Linked DNA regions of Caenorhabditis elegans. Changing the gene in region 2 together with the main gene of any one other region gives a genetic interaction. Each region holds a gene or a part of one and is shown on either strand. Other genes may lie near its edges. The genes, in order: lin-18 and mib-1.

Region 1 (5,807 bases), on a different chromosome or scaffold from region 2:
AACATCAGTGGTGATATGGCATCTGACGACCCACCAGAGGTGACACCAGAGCCGGCACCTTTTCAACAGCACCAGATGGGAGTTTGGTATCCGATGAAAAAAGGAGACATTCCGCACCTGGGAATATTTAGTGGGGAGTTCAGGTATGCAAGTTTTAGCAGACCAAGTTAAATGGCATTTGTTTCAGAAGGGCTCCGTTGAAAAAAATCAGAACCGCCAGTGACATCAGGCTCTATAATGAATATACCAGAGCAAATCGTCTCAATAGACCAATTAGAATAGAAATGGATAATGCTGCTGGTAAGTAGTAGTTTTCTAGATTGTTTCTGTTACTTCACTAACTCAAATATTGAAAAAAAATTGCAGCTTACGTAAGGAACGAGTGTCAAACAGATAGCAACTGTGGTATTCAAACTGTATGCTGCACGAAGAAATGGTGCGACAGAAGTAATAATTGTGGTACCGGAAAGTTTTGTCTGACAAGTTGCTCGTCGACAAAACTTACCTTTTTACCATCTGCAAATCATGCTGAAAGCGTAATTGATATTATGTATGATTAGGTTTATATTGCAAAATTAGAATAATGTTGTTCATATTTATGTCTGTGTGTACTTATTAATTAAATGAAGAGTGGGGAACAATAAAACGAATCGGAAACGAATTTAACCCGTCAAAAGTGGATGGTTTTGCATTGCAAACAATTAATTAGATGTATTGACTGAGTTGAATGTTAAAGTCTCGAAGTCCATGAACTACCTGCTCACTGCTAGGACGATCTTCGCTGAGTACCCTCCAACAGCACAGCATGACTTCGTATCTAGAAAAATTATAATTAAAAATGAAACGTGTACTTTATTATGAACTAACAATTGATCCGGACAATTGTTCGGCTGTTGCAGACGCTTTCCTTTGAGAATCATTGTGTACACTTCCTCAGGGTCTATTTCAGCGTGTGGAGATCCTCCTAGCGACATGAGCTCCCACAGTAGAACTCCCAGTGACCACTGAAAAATTTTAATAGTGTTAAACTTGGAAATATTTATTCTCCACTCACAACATCAGCGGCCGATGAGTACAGCTCATTTGCAATAGCTTCTGGAGACATCCATTTCAATGGTCTGTTCTCATTGTCACCCAAGCAGTGATAATCAGCTGGGAACAGATCGCGGGACAGCGCCGAGTCGCATAATTGCACTTGGAGTCGCCCATTCACTTCTGCGATCAAGCAGTTTCTAGCGGCAATGTCGTTATGCACTATTCTATATTTGTGTATATGAGCTACTGCAGAAGATACTTGTGTGGCCAGAGAGACGAGTTGATGAGTTCGGAGAGTTTGAGCTCCTAAAATTGAGTTTAATTTGTGTTATGACTGTTTTATTTGAAAGTACCTTTAGTTTTATCACCATGTCGGCAGATGGTGAGGAACTTCTTCAGGTTTCCAAAGCCTTGGTGTCTGTAACAAACAAGTGGAAAATCTGTGACAGTTTCCGGGCGGTCGAATCTTCCGAAGGAAGCCACACATGCCACTTGAGACAAGTTTTGGTGAGGTGTGATGTTGTAAAATAGAAGGGCGTCGGACAAAAACCGATCCAGCTGAATTGGTGAGGCATTATTTTTCAACGTTTTGGTGTAAACAGCTTCCTGGTTACAGAATGTGTCTTCTTCGTCGTCAACATCTCCGTTCAGTACGTCATCTACTTGACGCCAAATTGCATATCTCACTTCTCCAAATGTTCCTAGAAATTGCAAAGTTAAAATTTTAAGCTAACCAGTTCCCAAATTACCCTCCATATCTAGAGGTAGAGATTGAAAAGCATCTCGATCTTGATAGAGTTGTAACAATGCACGTCTCACGTCAATCTGCAATCAACTCAAAACCTGCGTCATTCTTGACAAGATATTCTTGTCACTTTTCACAAAAACTCACGTTTCTTGGCTTGCTCGGGATTATCGAATTTCCCGACGCAGACGACGAAGAACAAGGAGCGCTTGAAATAGCGGAAAGAGTCGGAGGTCCTACAAAAGAGATGTAATTTATGATAACATCTCAAGATGGATTACCATCTCGCGGTGTGCTCAGAAGAAAAGGCTGCGCGCTTTTTGTAGATTTCAAAGAATTCCGAAAAGACGTTCTGAAAGGAAGGGGATGACAATGGGCAGAGTTGAAAATAAACCCTACGGAAGTCGAGTCGGAATCATGTCTTCTTTTTTAGAGCGCTTGAAATAACAGATCAACGTTGCTGCCACAATAAGTAGGAATGCCGCAGCAATGCAAATGATAACAAAAAATGCCTTGTCTATTGAGTCAGTGTCGTCGACTTCATGACCCTCGTAGCCTCCTGGAAATATAAGAATTTGGAATTTGATAATTCCAAAGGGTGATATAATTGCTAATAAAAATTGTATTTACCTTTATTTGTTAAATAAACAGTGTTTCACTAATTCACTGACCACAAACTGAAACCACTTCACCCCAGCATTTGAAACCAGACATGGAAAGCTTATGCTAAGATAGGTGAAGCTCCCACTTTTTAAACTCGCAAGTTTTAACATTCATACTTCAGTCTACCTTTCCACTACTTTCGGGGCATTTCGAGTTTTTGAAAAAGTTGTTTTTGCTAAATTTGGTACTTCTGTATTACATGCCATTATATTAAAATAAAAATCAATGCTTATCAATATGTACATTCAAATAAAACGTGATATGCATTTTTCCTCTTTTTTCAGACAACTTGGTATGGGAAATCATACACGAGGTTAATCTAGCAATGAAGTAATTTAGGAAAACTAAAATCCAAAACTCCGATGGATTTCAATTTGTTTCATAGAAGTCCCTCCTTAGAAAAAATGCTTAAATTTATACCCAAAATTGGTATTCTATTCCGAAATCCAGTTCATTCACCCCAGAATGACAATTATTCTTCTCCATTTGAAGCGTTTTTCTCTCCTTTTTCCTATTTTTCGAATAATCGGTGGACCTTTTTCTCTTTCAATTCAACTCATTTATTTTCGTCTACCGCCGCTTCTGTGACAATCAAACAGCTGCACTATAGAGAAGAGCGTGTCATTCAATCATTCCGAGCCTCTCTTCAAGTTTTTGGGCATCAATGTGCACATTTGTCATAGAGGATGTCGTCGCCCAACTATTAGAGCATAACAACTTTTGCTTACCGTTCAGACCTCGACGTCCGTCCCTTGAAGCGCAGATCTTCTCCTGTCGCAATTTCACTTTCAACGGCTCCTTATTACCATATTTGAATGTGAAATATAGACTGACAGCAAATTGTCCGGATCGGTGTCCGGCACATCTGTATTCAACGGTGAAGTCTGTAAGAAACAATAAATTATCATTTGAAAAATGTTTCGCGAAATGAATACCCTGCAAAGATTCTGGCACCGTTCCTTTCAATGGAATTCGAACAATAGGAAGCACAGAAGAGTCATCAGATTCGACGTAAACTTCATAGTGTACCTGTTTACAAAATAAGTCTCATTATTTAGATTTTAATAATGTATGTTTTTATTACAATTCCAACAGCATTCCATGTGAACGAGAGGTAGTCGATGTTTGCCATAACTCTGTAGTGAAACTTTGTAGAGTACGAGCTAACATTCCCCATTTCAATGTAATTCAGCTCAGCTTTGACACCTGTAATAAATTATTTTAGGCCATAGCTTAAATGTTGGAATTTCAATAATCTTTTCCAAAATTTTTCAACATTTTTTTGAATGTTTTATTCTGATATTAGGTCACTTTAGAACCAAATAAATATTTTTCATATATTCCCCCACTGACCGCACTCAACCTTTAACAGATAACTATTTCTTACCAAAAGTACGATTCATTTCCTCTTTGCTGATGAACATATTCACATTGGCCAGGCAGAGTGCCCATAACTGCGCGAAAAAAATCAGGTAGCGAAGAATCATCCCATTCGCTGCAAAAAATGAAACAGTTTTCGAATTTTTCAATTCGCAACATTGAGGAATCTGGAGATGAAAGAAAGGAGGCAAATTAATTCATCGAGTGTTCAAAAGCGAAACGAAAGTGATGAATGATAGAGAAGAAAGACACCTGAATACGCGTCGACAACTGACGGCGGTGTTCTTCTCAAAAATAGAGGTCAACAAAATGCAACATTTTGGATAACAAATGAAACAAATTGGTTGAAATTAAATTCCGATATTTGGTATATATGTAGACAAAAGTTCAGAAATAGAATTTTTGAAAGGTGATAGTCCCGCCCACTGGGACGTCTTTGTTTTTTTGGAGGAATTTCCTATCAAAGAGTTAGCTTCAAAGAACTTGCACGTTAATCTAGGGATGCCAATTTGGCGAAATGCGATCTTCTTCATTCACTTCCTTTTAAATGTCTTTATTTCACTCTCTCTCTCACAGCTCTTTCTCTCCACTCATTCTGACTCAATTCAGTCCAGGAGTGGCACCCAATCACGCCGGGGAAACAAAACAGCGTTGTAGCAATAAAAGGATGACCAATGAGAAATAGAAAAAATTGACAGAAATACAAATATACAACACATCTACAACCACGTCTTCTTTTATTTTGGAGATCTTTTTTGTCCTGTGAATGGAGTATCTATAGAAAGATGGGTGAATGTGTGTGTGTGTGTGTGTGTGTGTGTGTGGATGTCGGGATGTGTGCTTTTCAAATTGGGTTAGTGCAAGCCGCTTTATGTACAATGGCACCAAACAAAAATTACATTAGGAAAGAAGAAAAGGGTGGGAGGGGTAGCAACAAAAAAAACATGAGAAGGAAAAAAAGGGCAAAGGACTGCGGATGACGCAACTGTTAGAACTTTTTTTCTGTGAAAAAGTATTTGCAAACTCGGTTGCGCAAGACATTCTAGCGGTAATTTGCAACGATTGAACGTGAAAATGGGAATAGTGGTTTCGGAGCATTTATTTTGTCAAAAGAAGGAGTGAAAATTCTGGGTATTTTAAAGGTATACACCTAAAATAATCTCAAATATACAAATTTCCTAGCCCAAAAAAACAATTTTTAGAAAAACATTTTTTTTTTGTTTTTAGTGGCCTAGCTAAAATCCCCAATTTCGGCAACTGAAAGTGGCCAAAACGGGAGAGTTTAGCTAAAACTAGGCAATTGTTTTTTGAAGTTGTCAACGGCCATTTAAAAAAATAAGTAAAATTTTAAAGTTTTATTTTCAGATATTTATAATGAAAATAGTTTATTTAATCACATGTTCGAAACAAATTAGCTGGAAATATTACTCTTTCTTTAAAGAAAAAACGTATAACTCAGTCAGCACAATTAGAATTCGTGTAAGTTTCAATTATTTAACGCAGCTATAAAACAGTATGGTATTATTTATTTCAAATTAAAAACAACATTCAATGTTTTAACGAGAGTATTAACAAAATCTACTTCCTCAATAAATTTGCCTAAAAACCATGAGCTGCTGGCAAATAATTGTTGATTGGCCACTATCATATGGGGCAACGAGTACTCAATGGGAAAGAAACGGGAAAAGGAGGCGGAGGATCACTTTTCGGCGGCCGCGGGAGGCCACTCATTGTGCGGGGTGCCAAAATAATCCAAGTTTATCTTTTGAAATGGTTGGTGCTTGAGGCGGTGGGGGAAGAAGAATGGCAGGCGTTTTAATCTCAAGCCCAAGCTGTCACAAAATGATTTCCGCTCATGGAGCTCCATTTTTGGGCGGCGTACAACATTGACTGGCTCATTGTAAGAAAGTTGCTGTTATGAATCATCAGAAAGAATTACAATAATGTGCAATCACTGGGAAGATGCATGCTTGGCATTTTATGT
Region 2 (6,778 bases):
GCCGCATAGTCGTATTTAATATCTTTACACGCCTGAATTCTCGGATCAGGTACGTCTCGATCAAGTGATATTTTATCAGAAGCATGCACATTCATAAACCATTTCTTCATATCGGCCTGACCGAGCTCTGCGTCTTTTCCGGTGAGCACAACGGGTTTTCCCTTCTCTCCAGGACCTTCCCGGGGCGCTGTGTAGTTCGGGATTTGGTGGAGCTCCCCGTTCCATGTTTCCGGAAGCCTTACGAGCTCTTCTGCGTATTTTTCTGCAAAAAAATAGATTTTTTAATAGAAAAATTCCACTAAAATTGCCCACCAATATCCGGAAACTGGAATTTCGTGCGTCGCCGATCGTTCCGATGATAAGCTACGATGCAGAAGAAGGCGACGGTCAGAAAGGCGGCGATGACGAACGTGCCCTTCTTGCGAGGAATAATATACCGAAGCATGCTGGAAATATTTATTTTTCAGTGTTTTTCGAGTTATTTTGAACTTTTATTGTAAAAATCACTTAAAAATGAGTGAAAATCATGAACAATTGGGTTTAAATTGAATTAAATTGAAAAACGTGGCAAAAATGTCGAGATGGACGAGGTTCCGGAGCCCCGCGGCCACGGCCCCCACGCCTTTTTGCGCGGCAATTCAAATCATTGTAGCATATTTTCCAGTTAAAACCCCTTTATTTCTCAATAAAATCTTATTTATTTACACAGAAATGGAGTATACACAATCAAAAGCAATAAATTGATATTCACGAGTAGATCGGCTGCATCGTCTCGATAGTCTTTCTGCAGATGTGACATTGCTTCTTCAGTTTATCGGCACAATCCACACAAGCCGTATGTCCACAATTAAATACAACCTGAAAATATTTAATTTTTCAAAAAATCGATAATTTATTGATTTTTTGTTTAAAGCCATACTCACCGCAATCTTCAAATCCATACAAATCGCGCAGTTCGTCTCCAACTCGAGCTGCTCCAAACGTTTTCTCAGTTGATTCAACTCATTCTGCTTTTCACGTTCCACTTCGATTTTCGCCTCTCTCGCCGCATCGTCGGCGATTTGTTTGCGAACTTCTGCCGAAACTTGTTGACGATCGCCATCGGATGGTTCATGGCAGCGGGAGCCGATTTGAACTGGCTTTCCGTCTGTTTAAACATCGATATTTAGTATACAGAGAAAAATCGATACATCGATAATCGATTTTCCACGAAAACAAAATTGATCAAATTGCCAACGTGGCCTAGAAAACTCTAAAAAGGTATTTCTAGGCCACACCCCGTAAATCCTCGCAAATACCTTGATCATGAGCCTCGTTGATAAATTGACGACACACTGGGCATCGGCGGATTGCCACTTTCTCCGTACAATCGACACAAGCGACCCGATGACCGCACGGGTCCAATTTGACAGTGGCAACCGAATTGAGACATGAAAATGTGCACATTGTTACTTCTGTCGAGTCGAATTTATCCTCACTCATCGCCATCATCATCGGCATCACCTGTCTGAAATTGAGTTTTGCGACATGGCCGAATTTTTTCGGAAACTCGGCCACCCATTTTTTTTTGTTTGTTGATTCTCTATATTTGATAGTACCTTACGCATCAATTTCAGAAACTTTTCAAAAAAAAAATCGAAAAATCAATTGGTGGCCGAGTTTTCTCATTTCGGCGGCCATCACTGAAATCCCAACCTCTGCTTAGTCTGTGCAATATGAACGATAATCGATCTAAATGATGATTCTTCGCACAAATCCATCACGGTCATCCCTCTGCGATCTCTGAAAGGGACATTATTGATTTTTCTGAAAACTATCGATTTTTGTCGAAAAACATATTTTTCTAGAGAAATCGATTTTTTTTTTAAATATCGATTTTTATCCGAAATATTGACTTTCTTGAAGAATATCGATTTTCCCAGAAAAAGAGAAAAATTATCGATTTTCTTTAAAAAAAATAGACCAACTTGACATTCAAATCCGCTCCATTAGCAACCAAAAAGCAAATAGTGGCAAGTTGCCACATCGGACGAAGTCGGCTTGCCATCTCATCAAGATTCAGGTTCGTACGAACAAGTTGAGCACAAACCGGAACCAACGACGCCGGATATTGCTCCGAATTGCTCAACATTTCACGAATCAACTGGAAAACCGGTGTCTGTCCATTCAAATCGATAATATTCGATGGAGCGCCGGCTTTAACGAGAGCCTGAATTGCTGCAAGCCGATTACAGTCTTTTTCCGCTTCTCCTGTCCATTTTTCGAGGGCGTAGTGGAGTACTCCGCGACCGAACTTGTCACGACGGTGGACTTCTAGGCCAAGCTGAAGAAAATAATTAAAAAAAGTTGTCGGAAAATTCAAATTTCTGGAAAAAAAATTTTGGCGAAAAATTAAAATTTTTCGAGAAAAATTTTGATCTTAAATTCATTATTTTCGGCAAAAAAATCCTAAAAACTAACGTGGCCGAGTTTTGCATAAACCTCGGCCACCAACACTACTAATTTTTTTCACCTACCGAAATAAGTTTATTGACAACATTCGCATGGCCAGAGGCAGCGGCAAAATGCAATGCGCTCATTCCAGTTTTCGAGGTGGTATTACGGTAGGAGGCACGCAACAGGAGAAGCTGCTCGACGGTGCTGAAAATGTTGGAGGGGGTGGTGCACTTCTAATAGAGGTTTTACCTGACATGACCACTCATAATTGCAATTTGGATGGGTGTCATATTGCTATTGTTCACGTGATGAATGTTCGCACGAGTATTTGTCAGAATTCTACTTATTGCCGCTTTCTGAAATTGTTTTAGCGATTATCGATTTTCTGGTCAGTTTTCGGAAAAATCAATAACACAAACCTTATTCGAAGACTCTGGCAGCCGGCACACCTCATGCAAAAGTGTGTCGCCAAAATTGTTCGGAACACACGGAATACAAGTACTCGTACCGAGAAGCCGATCGATACAAGCTGCGTGGGCGTGACGGGCGGCCAAATGAAGCGGTGTTAGACCGTTGGCCGCTTGTGAATTGATGTCTTTTGGGAGAAGAAGCATTACAGTATCCAGCATTTTGTCAAGACCTCTGCAAGAATTATTGATTTTTTTAATTTTTTTTTAAATCGATTTTTTTACGATTTCCCACCTCTCCGCAGCCACATGAATGATAGTTCGATTCTCGGAATCTCTGGCGGTTCTATCTGCACCCAACGCGACAAGCATCACAACAACATTCCGTAGATCATCGGCGACAGCACGGAAAAGTGGCAGTTGACCGTCGAAAAGGGTCCGAACTTGTTGCGGATCCGATCGGATCGATTCGACGAGAAGCGCATAGCTCAGCGCGTCTTCACCCCAATTCGCGATCACTTGCATTAAGGTGTCCGGGGTGTAGCCGTGGATTGTGTGCTGAAAAAATCGATTTATCTTTCAGGTAGGCATGTAGGTAGGTAGGCAGATAGGCAGGTAGGCATGTAGGCATGTAAGCTGACCTATGGACCAGCAGGCAAATATGTAGACAGACAGGCTTTATGCAGACGCATTTTCAGGCAAACATGTAGGAAGGCAGGAAAAAAACAAGCAGGTAGTCGCGGAGGCAGGCGTGTAGGCAAGTAGGCATGTAGGTATGTAGGTTTGTAAGCTTACCTATGAACAATCAGGCAAATATGTAGACAGACAAGCTTTATGCGGACGCATTTTCAGGCATTTTCAGCATCAGACAACAATTTGACAGGCTATTGCGATAGTAGGCAACTAGGTAGGCACATAATCAGATAAGCGTGTAGGCAGGCAGTTTTGGAGGCAGACATGCCTGAAGTTACCTACCTTATAAGTATGAACCGACGGCTCATTATTATCTCTAGCAATCATTGACAATCGGGGACCCGAATAAACCGGACACAAAAAGATATCCCGTCTCTCATCAGTCCATCCCGTATTCGCATTAACCGCCACCTGAATCTCCCGGGTAATCGTCGGATTCGAGGCGCTTTTCAGTTGAACCAAATGCTTCGGAATTCCACCTAAATTCAATGGTTCCTTCGTTGCCACTATTCCGATTGTCGTTTTTTCCGGATCTCCGCGGGTTATTGCAACGAGATCACCTTTTGAATGATCTATACATTGAGGGAATTCCAACGCGTCCAGCGGCCATTCGGTAGAGAGCTTGAACTGAAAATTTAAATTTAAATTTGGGATGAAAAATTCGGAAAAAGGCTCTTTTTTCAGTGTTACCTCTGAAAGCTTGAAATCAAAAAAATTCAGGAAAAGTTTTAAGTATCTTCAATGAAGATTTCAGTTTCTGTACCGTTATCAACCAATTTTCATTTAAAAATTCGATATTGAAAATCAAAAATTACAGTAGCCTTTTAAAGACGCACGCCACTTTCGCAATACTTCTCCTGGCGCGATCAGTAAAAATGTGTGCGCCTTTAAACGATTACGGTAGTATCCAAGCAATTTAAACTTTTTTTTTCCGATTTTCAATGGAAAAAAGTACAAAAAAGATCGCTAGATTCCGAAAAATCACACATTTTACACAAAATCTTCAAAAAATCAGCTTACAAGCTCTGGATTTTGCGGAACTGCGTAGTAAACCCGAACATTTGCAGTGTGCCGGTGCTCGTTGATGCTCTCGATATAGCCAATGTGACCGAGAAGCTGAAAATGTTGAAGATTTGCCTGTTTTGAAGAGATTCTCAGCAAAAAATTTCAGATTTCAGCATTTTTTTCTTTTCTGCCACTCACAGCCAAATGTGTCTTCGTCCACGCAACATTATTGTACGAATTGAGGCGTTGTGCATGATTTGGATGATTTTCCGATATCAGAATTCGATCGCCCGGTGTGAAATACGTCAGGTACTCGTCGTAGCTCGGCGATTCGCCAGCTACTCCGTTCATTTTTGTGAGAAATAATTGAAATAAATAATTTTTTGTTATTCTGCTTTAGTTTTTTGTTTTAGACACGTTTTTCCGTGGTTTTCTAGTATTTTTCCGAGAATAACACGTTTTTATTTGGAAAAACCCTCATTTTTCGAAATATCCTTGTCCGAGAGGAGTACACACCGGGTGGCCGAGTGGGGATTTCTAGTCCCGGGTCGCGCCCGCGAATTCTTCGCTTTGAATTTGAAATTTATTTTTGCTGATTTTCAGTGTTTTTTGCGATTTCCATCGATTTTCCTCATTCAAAAAGTTTTTTTTGACTTAAATTCTGCGATTTTCTCATCTATATTATCGATGTTTCAGTCAACATCCCATCACTTGATGCAATAAACCGATGAAGATCAAAGAAGTGAGTTTTCCCAAGTTTTTCATCGATTTTTCCCTATTTTCAGGTGAGAATCACCGGCTTTCGAAGCTACAAAGACAACACCAATGTGTCGGGCTTCAGTCCACGCTCGAACGTCGTCGTCGGACGAAATGGATCGGGAAAATCCAATTTTTTCCATGGTTAGCCGCATGAATTTCTGCGGAAAAGCTGAAAAATGTCAATTTTCAGCGATTCAATTCGTTCTTTCCGATGAATATGCTCATTTGAAAGAAGAACAACGTCTTGGTCTGCTTCACGAGAGTACCGGACCGAAAGTCGCCCACGCTCGTGTCGAAATCACCTTTGACAACTCGGAAAAGCGTCTAATGGCGTTTGAAAATTCAGAAGTGAAGATTGTTCGTCAAGTTGGAAAGAAAAAGGATCAATATTACATTGATAATAAAATGGTGCCACGTGCCGAGGTATTCCAGCTGTGGAAAACCTCGAGATTTATCGATTTTTCCTCAATTTCAGGTGGTAAATCTCATGGAATCCGCCGGATTTTCTCGCTCAAACCCGTATTACATCGTTAAACAGGGAAAAATCAACGAGTTGGCCACTTCGCCGGACGCTTATAAGCTAAAGCTACTGAGAGAAGTCGCCGGAACACGAGTTTACGATGAAAGAAAGGAAGAAAGTCTGAAAATCCTGAAGGAAACCAGTGCGTACCTGAAAAATAATTGTTTTTTCGGTGAAAACGTTAGAAAAATGATTTTTTTTTGCTGAAAAATGACTGGAAAATCATCAAATTTTCATGGTTTTTGGTGTTAAGTATGCAAAAATTGCACATTTTCAGCAAAACTCTGGTTTTCTTTTGCAAAGTCGCGCAAAAATGACTGGAAATTGTCCAAAAACTCCGAAAGTCAGCATATTTCGACTATTTTCAAAAAAAACTCTCAAAAATTAGTGCATTTTTATTCAAAAAAGTGGAAATTCACCTTTATATATTGATTTTCTATCTGAAAAATGACTGCAAATTGTCAAAAAGCTACGAAAATCACCAAATTTTGACTATTTTCAACAAAAATCGCTTGTTTTTCTGGAAAATGTCAGAATTTATTGAAATTTTCATTCAAAAAAGCTTGAAGTTTACCGATTTTACTGGATTTTTGAAGATTTTTGAAGACAAAAAGTGCTCAAAATCTGGTATTTCGACCGAAAAATTTATCTGGTAAAATATTCAAAAAGCTCAGAAATTTCAAAAAAATTTAGCTAAAAAAACTAAAAAAAAAAAGCTTTTTAAGAGTTTTAAGAAATTTTTCGAAGAAAATAGTTCGAAGAAAATAGGTACGTGAAATTTTATCGATTTTTCTCAAATTTTACAAGAAAAAATATTTGAAAAATCAGAAAGTTAACATTTTTGAAGAAAAAATGCTCAAATCTTGAAATTTTATCGATTTTTCTGCAATTTTACAAAAAAAAATTCAAAAAATCGAAAATTCACCCTTTTTTTTTTGAAGAAAAACAATTATCAAAA

Evidence for each region.
Region 1: of mib-1 (region 2) and lin-18, changing one enhances a phenotype caused by changing the other (phenotypic enhancement), as found in Caenorhabditis elegans (one study listed by BioGRID).

The regions. Positions count from the first base shown.
Region 1 is NC_003284.9:3,956,683-3,962,489, reverse strand, and holds lin-18 (Inactive tyrosine-protein kinase RYK), read right to left. Parts: upstream 3,939-5,807; 5' UTR 3,931-3,938; coding exon 3,831-3,930; intron 3,650-3,830; coding exon 3,528-3,649; intron 3,473-3,527; coding exon 3,379-3,472; intron 3,328-3,378; coding exon 3,172-3,327; intron 2,340-3,171; coding exon 2,180-2,339; intron 2,133-2,179; coding exon 2,062-2,132; intron 2,017-2,061; coding exon 1,928-2,016; intron 1,861-1,927; coding exon 1,785-1,860; intron 1,737-1,784; coding exon 1,389-1,736; intron 1,342-1,388; coding exon 1,055-1,341; intron 1,005-1,054; coding exon 868-1,004; intron 818-867; coding exon 706-817; 3' UTR 583-705; downstream 1-582. Other genes in the region: C16B8.2 (uncharacterized protein), read left to right, coding at 1-143, 188-300, 367-560. UniProt on the Caenorhabditis elegans protein: Has no detectable kinase activity in vitro and is unlikely to function as a tyrosine kinase in vivo. Receptor which may act as a receptor for Wnt ligand mom-2. Plays a role in controlling P7.p vulva precursor cell lineage orientation during vulva development.
Region 2 is NC_003281.10:11,285,674-11,292,451, forward strand, and holds mib-1 (RING-type domain-containing protein), read right to left. Parts: upstream 5,004-6,778; 5' UTR 4,893-5,003; coding exon 4,740-4,892; intron 4,653-4,739; coding exon 4,557-4,652; intron 4,164-4,556; coding exon 3,819-4,163; intron 3,402-3,818; coding exon 3,139-3,401; intron 3,079-3,138; coding exon 2,856-3,078; intron 2,793-2,855; coding exon 2,686-2,792; intron 2,641-2,685; coding exon 2,517-2,640; intron 2,324-2,516; coding exon 1,968-2,323; intron 1,783-1,967; coding exon 1,696-1,782; intron 1,508-1,695; coding exon 1,299-1,507; intron 1,148-1,298; coding exon 924-1,147; intron 859-923; coding exon 748-858; 3' UTR 662-747; downstream 1-661. Other genes in the region: gly-9 (putative N-acetylgalactosaminyltransferase 9), read right to left, coding at 1-262, 313-445; smc-3 (Structural maintenance of chromosomes protein 3), read left to right, coding at 5,269-5,283, 5,327-5,441, 5,491-5,723, 5,776-5,962.